2 linked regions of the Neodiprion lecontei genome follow. The protein of the gene in region 2 purifies or fractionates together with the protein of the main gene of each other region. This does not show direct contact. Links are inferred from orthologs where the notes say so. Each region holds a gene or a part of one and is shown on either strand. Other genes may lie near its edges.

What was found.
Region 1: the proteins of cyclin-dependent kinase 7 (region 2) and CDK-activating kinase assembly factor MAT1 purify together in Drosophila melanogaster (affinity purification with western blotting; 3 studies listed by BioGRID, with this or other methods). This does not show direct contact. The link is inferred for Neodiprion lecontei from reciprocal best matches to the Drosophila melanogaster genes Cdk7 and Mat1.

Annotation. Positions count from the first base shown.
Region 1 is NC_060264.1:1,837,416-1,841,834, forward strand, and holds CDK-activating kinase assembly factor MAT1, read left to right. Parts: upstream 1-1,951; 5' UTR 1,952-2,361; coding exon 2,362-2,485; intron 2,486-2,581; coding exon 2,582-3,423; 3' UTR 3,424-3,747; downstream 3,748-4,419. Other genes in the region: TP53-regulated inhibitor of apoptosis 1-like, read right to left, coding at 435-527, 881-1,111.
Region 2 is NC_060265.1:21,195,805-21,201,237, reverse strand, and holds cyclin-dependent kinase 7, read right to left. Parts: upstream 3,508-5,433; 5' UTR 3,367-3,507; coding exon 3,313-3,366; intron 3,229-3,312; coding exon 3,169-3,228; intron 3,093-3,168; coding exon 2,984-3,092; intron 2,903-2,983; coding exon 2,457-2,902; intron 2,313-2,456; coding exon 1,965-2,312; 3' UTR 1,256-1,964; coding exon of another isoform or gene 1,217-1,255; 3' UTR 1,128-1,216; coding exon of another isoform or gene 858-1,127; 3' UTR 817-857; downstream 1-816. Other genes in the region: actin-related protein 2/3 complex subunit 1A-B, read left to right, coding at 8-186, 858-1,127, 1,217-1,255; T-complex protein 1 subunit gamma, read left to right, coding at 4,072-4,108, 4,199-4,260, 4,752-5,433.

The sequences.
Region 1 (4,419 bases), on a different chromosome or scaffold from region 2:
TTTAGAAATAGAGAAATATCGTTCAGTTTTATCAACATAATTCTATTAAAGTGTCGGGAGTTCGAGGTATTTAAATAAATTTAGATCTTCGTATTTCACTACCTTATCCGAACGAACATTAGAAAATTTGGCTCCTAATTCCGGCTGCTAGCTTTAGCCTTATAAACATATTGCATAATGAAATCATTCATACCTAGAGATATAAAACAATTTTACCTGAAAGTAAATTCATATAAATTACTTCAATCTTTGTTAATAGCTTTTATTCTACTGAATTAAGGATCCGGCGATGCATGCTTCTGTACCGCCGCCTCACTGTTGGTAACTTTATGAGGTACCGATGGGATCGTAACTTGTGCCAGCGGCATGCACGGCGAGCAAAGCATAGCTGACATCCAAGACGATATTGGCATCCACGGTCTATCGACTAATTGTCAGCTGCGAGGCGGGGCTGTTTTCTCCTGATCTGTACCTAGGTAGTTAGCTTCCACATCTTTAATCTCTATGTGCTGATCCTTCATAGCTTTCTGAAATTTGAAAGATGGAAAATCATTGGTTGCGAGAAAAAAGTACAGAGCTGAATTTGAAACTGAGGATTGATTAATCTTGAGGTTGACATAGTTTATCGAAGAGATTTCAAGTTTTCGTTTCTTTGCGTCCAACTCACCGCCACGCACTCTTTATAGACTTTGAGCAAGCTAGAGCACATCGAGTCGTTTCTATCGCCCTTGAGAAATTTTTCAGAGAACCAATAATTGAAACAAGCGTCGTATTTCTGTTTTAATTCACTGCATGCTTCCATGCTGACGTTCGGCTCAGTCTGGTCACGGTGACAAAAACCTATTTTGAAATAATAATAACTAAATAGTAATAAAATTACCTTTACGCACTGCTGGTAGACTTTGAACAAAGGAGCACACATGGAGTCGTTTGTTTCCCCTTTCAGGAATTTCTCAGCGAACCAGAAATGGAAACACGAGTCGTATTGCTTCTTGAACTCATTGCACGTCTCGCCAATACTGTTCATGAGGAGATCTGTGCTACTCGGACTATTTCTGAAAGCAGACCCAACCGACTCCAACACGGTACTTCCAAAGCCTTTGGCTTGCATTTTGCATTTGCTGATAGAGTATTGAATCGAATCCTTTAGAGTGAAATTACGTTTTTTACAATGTAAGTCAAAGGCTATCCTTGATAGATATTCGATATTTGGCTACAACAAATTTAGCGTTAGGTTATGCCAAATGCAAGCCACTAATTGAATATAGATGGTAATATTCATATACTCGAAAACTTGACAGATTTAATTTATTGACAAGTGCCGCAAACAAAACGAAAACAGCGTCTTTATGTCTTAAAATGACTGACGAGAATCAACATATTGAAAAATTTTAAGGTTAAAGTTTTCGAGACAGAATTTAACCTTAAATATTTTACATCATGATAATTGTAACAACTGAGACAACAGTGTTCTTTCATATAACGTTGAAGGGCCTGAATTTGAGGTTACGTTGTTCACTTTTCTTTGCGAACAGCCGAATGATTGCACGTAGGCATATTTTTTTATCAATACGGCGCAAAGACTTACCTGCGTTAATTGTTAATACGGAGCTAGATTGTCTCCTGGAACAATTTTATGTACTCTCTGATTGAATTAAAAACGCTCGTACGATGTGTCGTAAATACATAAAAAGCACCGTGGTTTTGATCGTAGAATCTGAACTGTCAAACGTCGAAGACAAGCTGAACGGACAGAGATTTTCACGAGGAGCGAATGAAGCAACTGAGTTAGTCGCGTCTGTAGCGTGCGTTAAAATATATTCAAGAATTCAGCCCATCGATTCTGCGTGCTCGACTTATCACGTTCGGAGTGATTGTGCCAGATTGTGCTGATTGTAGGGTCGAAATTTTCGGGTGCCTCGACTTTCGAGAGCCCGGCTCGTGTTTTTCATGTTTCCGAATGCTTCCGAATGTTTCCGATTAGTTTCAAAAACCAATTTCGTGTCAGATGGCGCCACGAAATTGTGTCTGCACAAAAAACGCAAAGGCTTCTCTTTGCACGTCGCGTGCGTTTTCCGGTTTTTGGTTTTGCGTCAAAAGATCCGGCGCTTTTGGGCGCTTTGGAGTATTGTTGACAAATAATGTACTTATATCTACCTACGTAATAATACCGTTCCTCAACGAGTCATTATATTTGCATACAGGGAGAAGTTTTCAGGAAAAATAAAGTCTGACATAAAATATAATCTTATCTTATGAAATGTGCGGTTAATAAAAATAGCTGCTGGGGTTAAGTTCACGTTGTTGTTTATGCTTACCCTCATTTATTCCTTGCTGGTTGAACAATAATCACTTGTCACAATGGACGACCAAATTTGTCCCCGTTGTAAAACGACCAAGTACAGAAATCCGTCGTTGAAGTTGATGGTAAACGTGTGTGGACACGCGTTATGCGAAAGTTGCGTCGATCTCTTGTTTTTGAAGGGTAATTATCGATGCTCACAGTTCCATTACATCGTTTTCCATTCTAACGCTTATTTACAAACATTCAAATACATGTTGTTATTATTTTCTCTTGTAGGCTCTGGCGCTTGTCCCGAATGTCAAATACCGTTGCGAAGAACAAATTTCAGGATCCAATTGTTCGAGGACTCGATGGTAGAAAAAGAGGTAGACATCCGCAAGAGAATACTCCGCGACTTCAACAAAAAAGAGGAGGACTTTACAACGCTGCGAGAGTACAACGATTACCTCGAGGAAATTGAAACGATAATATACAACCTGGCCAACAATATCGACGTAATAGAGACGAACAAGAGGATAGAGCAGTACAAGAAGGCGAACAAGGAACAAATTTTGAAAAGCAAGTCCAAGCTGGGCAGGGAGGAATACGAGCTTGAGGAATTGTTAGAGCTGGAAAAGCAGCAGGAGGAGGAGCGGAAATTGGAGTTGATAAAGCAGGAGGTTGAAATGAAGAAGAAAAAAATACGTGAGAAAGAGGCTCTCATCGACGAGCTAATGTTCTCAGAAGCGGACGCCGCGAACATTGTCGAGACGTTCGCGTCTACGATCCAGGCGACCAGAGAGGAAGCTAAGGTCGTGCCAGTCGCAAAAGTAACCCAATTCAGTACCGGAATAAAATTCGGCAGACAGGGTCAGCAGACATTCATGCCTGTACCGAAAGTCGAGGAAGGTCCTACCTACTGCTACAAGCGTATCGAGCAGGAAGTCGAAGGTCCGCATCCTCCTGGCTGGCAGGAAATGGAATCTGGCGGATATATCGCGCACGTCAGAAGCGAGAAGCCGGCCGAAAAAGCCGGAGGCTTTAAGTCGAACATTGCGTGTTTGAGAGCGCTTCAGGAAGCGATGGCTGGGCTGTACCACAATCCCTCGCAAAGACCTCCCGAGTCGATGGCAATCTGACCCTACGACTGGTCATAAATTGCCGACGGTCTCCCGTCAGTTTGTTAAAAACTCCTGACGATATCGACTGACTGCGATGAAAACTAGCTTATTATACCCAAATGGTGAACAGACACTCCCAGGCTCATGTAGTATCGTGTAAATAATATATTCGTGGGCTGCTTTCACAACGAATTATACATTTTGTACGGCTGTACCGCTTTCATTATATTGTAAGAAATTGTTGACAATTTAATGCTTAAAAAGATGAGGATGATAATAATAATAGTAATTATCGTTGGGTGGAAGAGTTTGTAAAAACAAAATAGAGGTATGCGATCGGTAGTTTGACGTTTATTTTCTTTGCACAATGAAAATATTAAAATAAACAGAGGCGGTAAATTAGCGAATAAGCGACGTTCCGACAAGTCAAGTGATTCGGATTCAAATCTGCCCTAGCCTCCCGGCATCGAAGTTGGTACGACGATTCGTTAACAGATGGCGCCAGCGCTGAGTGCCAATAAATTCGTGCTCGGCGGTTAAATCCGAAAGGCGCGGGGTATGTATAAGGGAAGAAATGTTACACACCGTTTATGCACGAGGTCGAGGAGTGTCGGCGGCGAAAAACACTTCGGTAGATTAATTTATTTGCATTTCATGAGTGCAGCGCACGCCTCGGACGTATTTATCGTCCGGAATCAACATTTTTACCGAATTCCAGCCGAGGTTCGCCGATCTTTGGATACAGCTTCGCGTAAATAAGGTAAGACAATTTTCAAATTTTGCGTGCAGCGGCTCCTTATTTCCCGACAAAAACTGAAGTTAGTAACGATTCATACCTCGTAATTTTAGAACTGTTTGAAATACAGTAAACCGTAATAAAACGTGACATGTACTGATATTTGCAATCATAGTTCCTTCGAAATCGTTTGTTAAAATAAGAAAACACTGATTTTTTTCTCAACGTTTCGTTACGATAACGTTGCTAACTTCAACCTCGTCTATTTTCTTATTTTC
Region 2 (5,433 bases):
TTTGCAGGTGGATGGGTACACTCTGTTGCCTTTAGTCAATGCGGTAACAAAGTGTGTTGGATTGGTCATGACTCATCCGTTTGTGTTGCTGATGCTTCCAAAGGCAACACAGTTACACGCTTACGCACAGAGCATCTTCCATTTTTAAGCTGCATTTGGGTTGGGCCGAATTCCATCGTGGCTGCAGTAAGAACTCTAATAGGTTTCTCTAATGCCCATAATAATGAAATATTTACCAGACTTGAATCCTATTTACTTTTGTTCCAAACGCTTACTCATTACTTTGTAATTAACTCTTTTAGAACTAAATTAAATCCAGCAATAGAAATTTTTTTTTTCAGCGTATTTCGATTTTGTATCTCTCAACTAAGTTCTTCAATAATAATCCATACAGAATTTTCCTAAATCCATATTGAAAGTTATACAGATTTCCATTACAGTGGACATGTAATGTTTTTCAAGTTTACAACTTTGCATTAATAGGTGCTGAGCTTATACATATTTTTATTCATGACATTTATGACTATGCTAGAAACATTCATTTTTTGTTCTTCAGAAAGAAAGTCAATTTTCAATAGCCTATGAAATTAGAAACAGATTCGAAAATTAGCTGTACTTTTCCGATGAGAAAATATACTTAAACGAAGGACAGACTTTAATATATTTTCTTTCAGATAGATATTGGAACTGTTGACGAAAAACATTCCTTAAAAAAAAATCGGATTAGTGAAACTGTTCATATGAATTTTTGAAATCTCTTGCCATTGGGATGGATAACCGTTTTGAAAGGGTTAAGAGAACTGTCAGAAAATTCACTTCCTTCAGCAGACAGTAAAAAATTGATATTTATTTTTCAGGGACATAGTTGTTCTCCTATGCTCTACGCCTTGGATGATAATGGCCAATTATATTTTGCATCAAAACTGGATAATACTCAAAGAAAAGAAGCCGGTGGACTTTCGGCTATGCGAAAATTTCAATCGCTTGATCGCCAAGCACGCATAGAAACAACAGACACTGCCCTGGATAGTATTCACCAGAATGCAATTACTTGTGTACGAAAACTACGAGAAGACAAATTTAGTACAAGTGGGTTAGACGGACAACTGGTCATTTGGGATCTGAAGGTATTGTATCACTTTTAATTTATGATCCTTTAATCTGAAATATTTAAATACCGTATCAGTTGGTCAAGTTTTTTTCGATTCTGTTTTAGACACTGGAGAATTCGATTGCCGGTCTCAAAATTGTTTGAATTATTGGAATTCAGTGAGCTGATAACATCAATTTGGTGTATAAATTTGAAATAAAATGTTCTTTAATTTAGACTTTGGAATAGCGTGATGTTGACTATCGTTTGAGTCTTCAACACAAATTGAATTTCTTACATACAGTCACCCAGTAATTACTAATAGTTGTTTTAAACAAACGTTTATGCCGAGTTATCAGTAATTGTTGTTTCATATAGAGCACATATACTGCTGGTTTTACGTTGTTTACCCTAAATGCACAGTACATCCACATGACAAGTATCCAAATGTAGGTGGCAATGCTGTCTGAAGATTATGCATACGGAAACTTGTGTAAACATTTTTTTAAATTTCATGTCACCAGCCTGGTAACATATTTTTTAATAGTGATTTAAGTTACTAACGAAATAATGACTCTATTGAAAACTAAACATACACATACAAATACTTTCTACTAGTACCACAAACATCATAATACCAAACTAAAATCGTGAATTTTTGGTTCAGTAAATTATTGTAATATCTACAACAAACGCAAAGCAATATTGTTCCTAAGTTTCATAGCTTTGAAGAATGTGAGAAGTAGCTATGAATTATAATTTAAGGATATGTGAAAGTTCTTGAACTTCCTTGAATATTTGCAACACAAAACTAGGCGAACTAGAAGAGTTCCTTAGTATGTAATGTATCACATAGACCTAATATCTTTTATAGCTAGAATTGCAGTCTCTTCGCTAGTGATCCTCCATCCATGGATTCTAACAATTTTCTCTTGAGACTAGGTTTTTCCTCTGGTTCTTTCCTGATAGTCATGGGAAGAGGCAATTTTGATCCAATCGTTGGTGGTGGTTTATTACTAAAATAAGGCATCTGTAGAGCTTGATCACAAGTACAGCGTTCCAATGGATTAACGTTTAACAGACTTGTGATTAAATCTAACAGATCGTCTCCAGCCGCAGTGAAGATATGCTTCAGTGGAGTACCAGGAAATGGCTTGAACTGTATAAAATCTGGCAAATCCGTCATTCCAGGCCATGTTTCATCGCTTGGTGTACCCAGCGTCTGCAAAAATATTTCAACAAGAAAGATTGTACCATAAACTTATTTGTGTTGTATTTTTAACCACAGTATGTGATTTATTGAATCACTGGTATCTTTAGATCAAAACGCCCTATTTTTCGACTGAACTTGAATAATGATATGGACCTGGAATATTCTCGTTAGTTGATCCAAATCTGACTCTCCAGGGAGGAATGGGAGGCGTAACAGTAACTCAGCCAGTATACAACCAATTGCCCACATGTCAACGCCAGTGCCATATAATCTAGCACCATACAGCAGTTCTGGTGCTCTGTACCACCTAGTAACAACTTGATGAGTGTATATTCTGTTTGGTGATCCAAAGAACTTGGCGAGACCAAAATCTCCTATTTTTAATACGCCGCTACTATTCACAAGCAGATTGTTGGGTTTTAGGTCTCTATGAAGTATCCAATTGAAGTGGAGATACTCAAGTCCTTGGAGGGTTTGGATCATATAAGATTTCACATTTGCTGATGTTAAGACAATGTTACTATCTTTTATTATAACTTCCAAGTCTGTATCCATGAAATCAAACACCAACGACACATTGGATTTATGACCAAAGACATCTGAAAATTTGTTATAATAAAAATTAGATAGGTGCCATTCAATGATGTATAAAAACATTATTTGAACAAACAAGTACTTGCCTAATAATCCAATGATATTATCGTGTTTAAGCTCTTGCAAGAGTTTTATTTCTCGCAAGGCGGTACGATTAATTCCGTCCTTGGCTTCTGCTCGGCTTCCGACTTTGATCTGGAGAATAATGATGGATGATTATTTATTGTATATGTTAACCTGTCCGATAGAAGTAATTTTTTTGCTAAATCACCTTTTTCACAGCTACTATGCTGTCGGTCTCGGTATCTCGAGCTTTATACACAGTTGCAAACTGAAATTAAAAAAAAAAATTTATAAAATATCACTACTAATGCAACTAAAACGTGATAAATGGTGTCATATGATACCAACTAACCTGTCCTTCTCCCAAGAAATCAATTTTCTCATATCTCCTCAATTTTTCCGTCATCGTTTAATTGAATTAGTATTGTGATGAAACCAAATCATTTATAATGAATCACGTTAAATGACTAGTATTCATTTTATGCCAAACGATTTGATGAGCTGTCAAATGTGCTCCCTCTCACTTTTTCAGTATACGATAGTTCGATTCGAAAGATGCCTTTGGAATTTTTAAATCTCCGCATACATCATGCAGACTATACAAGGAGTAAGAACTTCATGTATACAAATTGTTTCCAAAATTAAGAGGGCACTAGTGTTCTATGAGTATTGCGCCAGGCGCGGCGGGGCGGGGGGAGTACATGACTGTAGTGAAAACTTTACGAATCATATTGCAAGATTATCGGTTAGTCGATTTTGGGCATTCCTGTAACCTCTTTGGTATGCATCATGTGCGTCATCATGTGTGCTCGTATTGTCAAAGATTTGAAATCTCGAATAAATACGCATCCGTACTTAAATATGACTTGTCGGATGATCCTCATCGACTGGATAGTTAGACACACGACAGATGATATTTCACTTTTTTGTACCAGTCTTTCGTGCTTGAACACCAGATGGGAGGTCGTTAGCTCTTCTTACATAGGATTTATCCGATGACTGAAACCATACCCACGTTTCTTCTAGAACAGTTCGTCTCACGCGAGATTCTTGAGCTGAACGCCCGCCTTTAATATTTATTGGGAAGTTCGAACAGCGTGTGCAGTGAAAAATGTTTGGTCCAGGGTCAGCGCCTATTGTGGTTTTGAGTGAGTGTAAAAACAATGAAATTGTTATTATACTGTTAGGAAAATTTCCCGACGCTATCATACGCATAATGCCGTCTCTTATAATTGCAGGCCAAAACACAAAGCGAGATGCGGGCAAGAAAGTTCAACGTGAAAACATCCAAGCCGGCAAGGTACAAACACACCCGCCACACACATGACCAGTAAATTCTCCTTATACGGTCCTGCTTCGTCGGCACACCCACGTGCATTTTCGTCATCAATTTTCAGCATGAAATAGAAATCGAATAATTCCCCGCTACCTAACCTGATCTAACGGTCAATAATTATGACCGTTTTCTTGATTATACTGTTTAATATAGTTATACTAGTAAATTTTACACAAATCAAATGGATATGTAGCAAGTGATGCTTCGAATTCAGGATCACGACGATTGCAAAATTAGTCGCTAATCCCAGGCATTACAATTATTTAAGAACAACAGTAATATTGTAAACTTTTCACACTGATCATTTCATAAGTACATTTGAGAGGTTAATTCTGAAACGTGTAGCTTGAGAAACATGCAAATATCTTTTCAGATTCAACCTCTGCAAATATACAGTCCGCTTTAGAACTGAGATCATTTAAGACATAAATTCAATCATTTTTCTATTACCAAAGGCTATCGCTGATGTTATCAGAACATGCCTTGGGCCTCAGGCTATGCTGAAAATGCTGATGGATCCAATGGGTGGGATCGTAATGACCAATGATGGAAATGCCATTCTTCGGGAAATCACAGTTCAACATCCAGCTGGTAAATCGATGATTGAAATTGCGAGAACCCAGGATGAAGAAGTCGGAGATGGGACAACATCGGTAATTGTATTAGCTGGAGAGATCTTAGCTACTGCTGAACCGTTTTTAGAACAAGGCATGCATCCCACAGTAATAATCAGAGCATACAGGCAGGCTTTAGAAGATATGATAACCATTCTGAATGATGAAGTCAGCACTGAATTGGATCGGAATGATAGAACAAAGCTAGCACAAGTAGTCAAATCATGTGTTGGGACTAAATTCATCGGTCGCTGGGCAGAACTAGCTTGTGACATTGCCTTGGATGCAGTCCACACTATTATGCTTGAAGAAAATGGCAGACGAGAGATAGACATCAAACGGTATGCCAAAGTAGAGAAGATTTCAGGTGGCAGCATTGAAGATAGTACAGTATTGAAGGGTGTTATGGTTAACAAAGATGTAACTCACCCAAAAATGAAGCGCTACATTAAGAATCCAAGAATTGTATTGTTGGATTGTCCGTTGGAGTACAAAAAGGGTGAATCCCAAACAAATGTTGAGA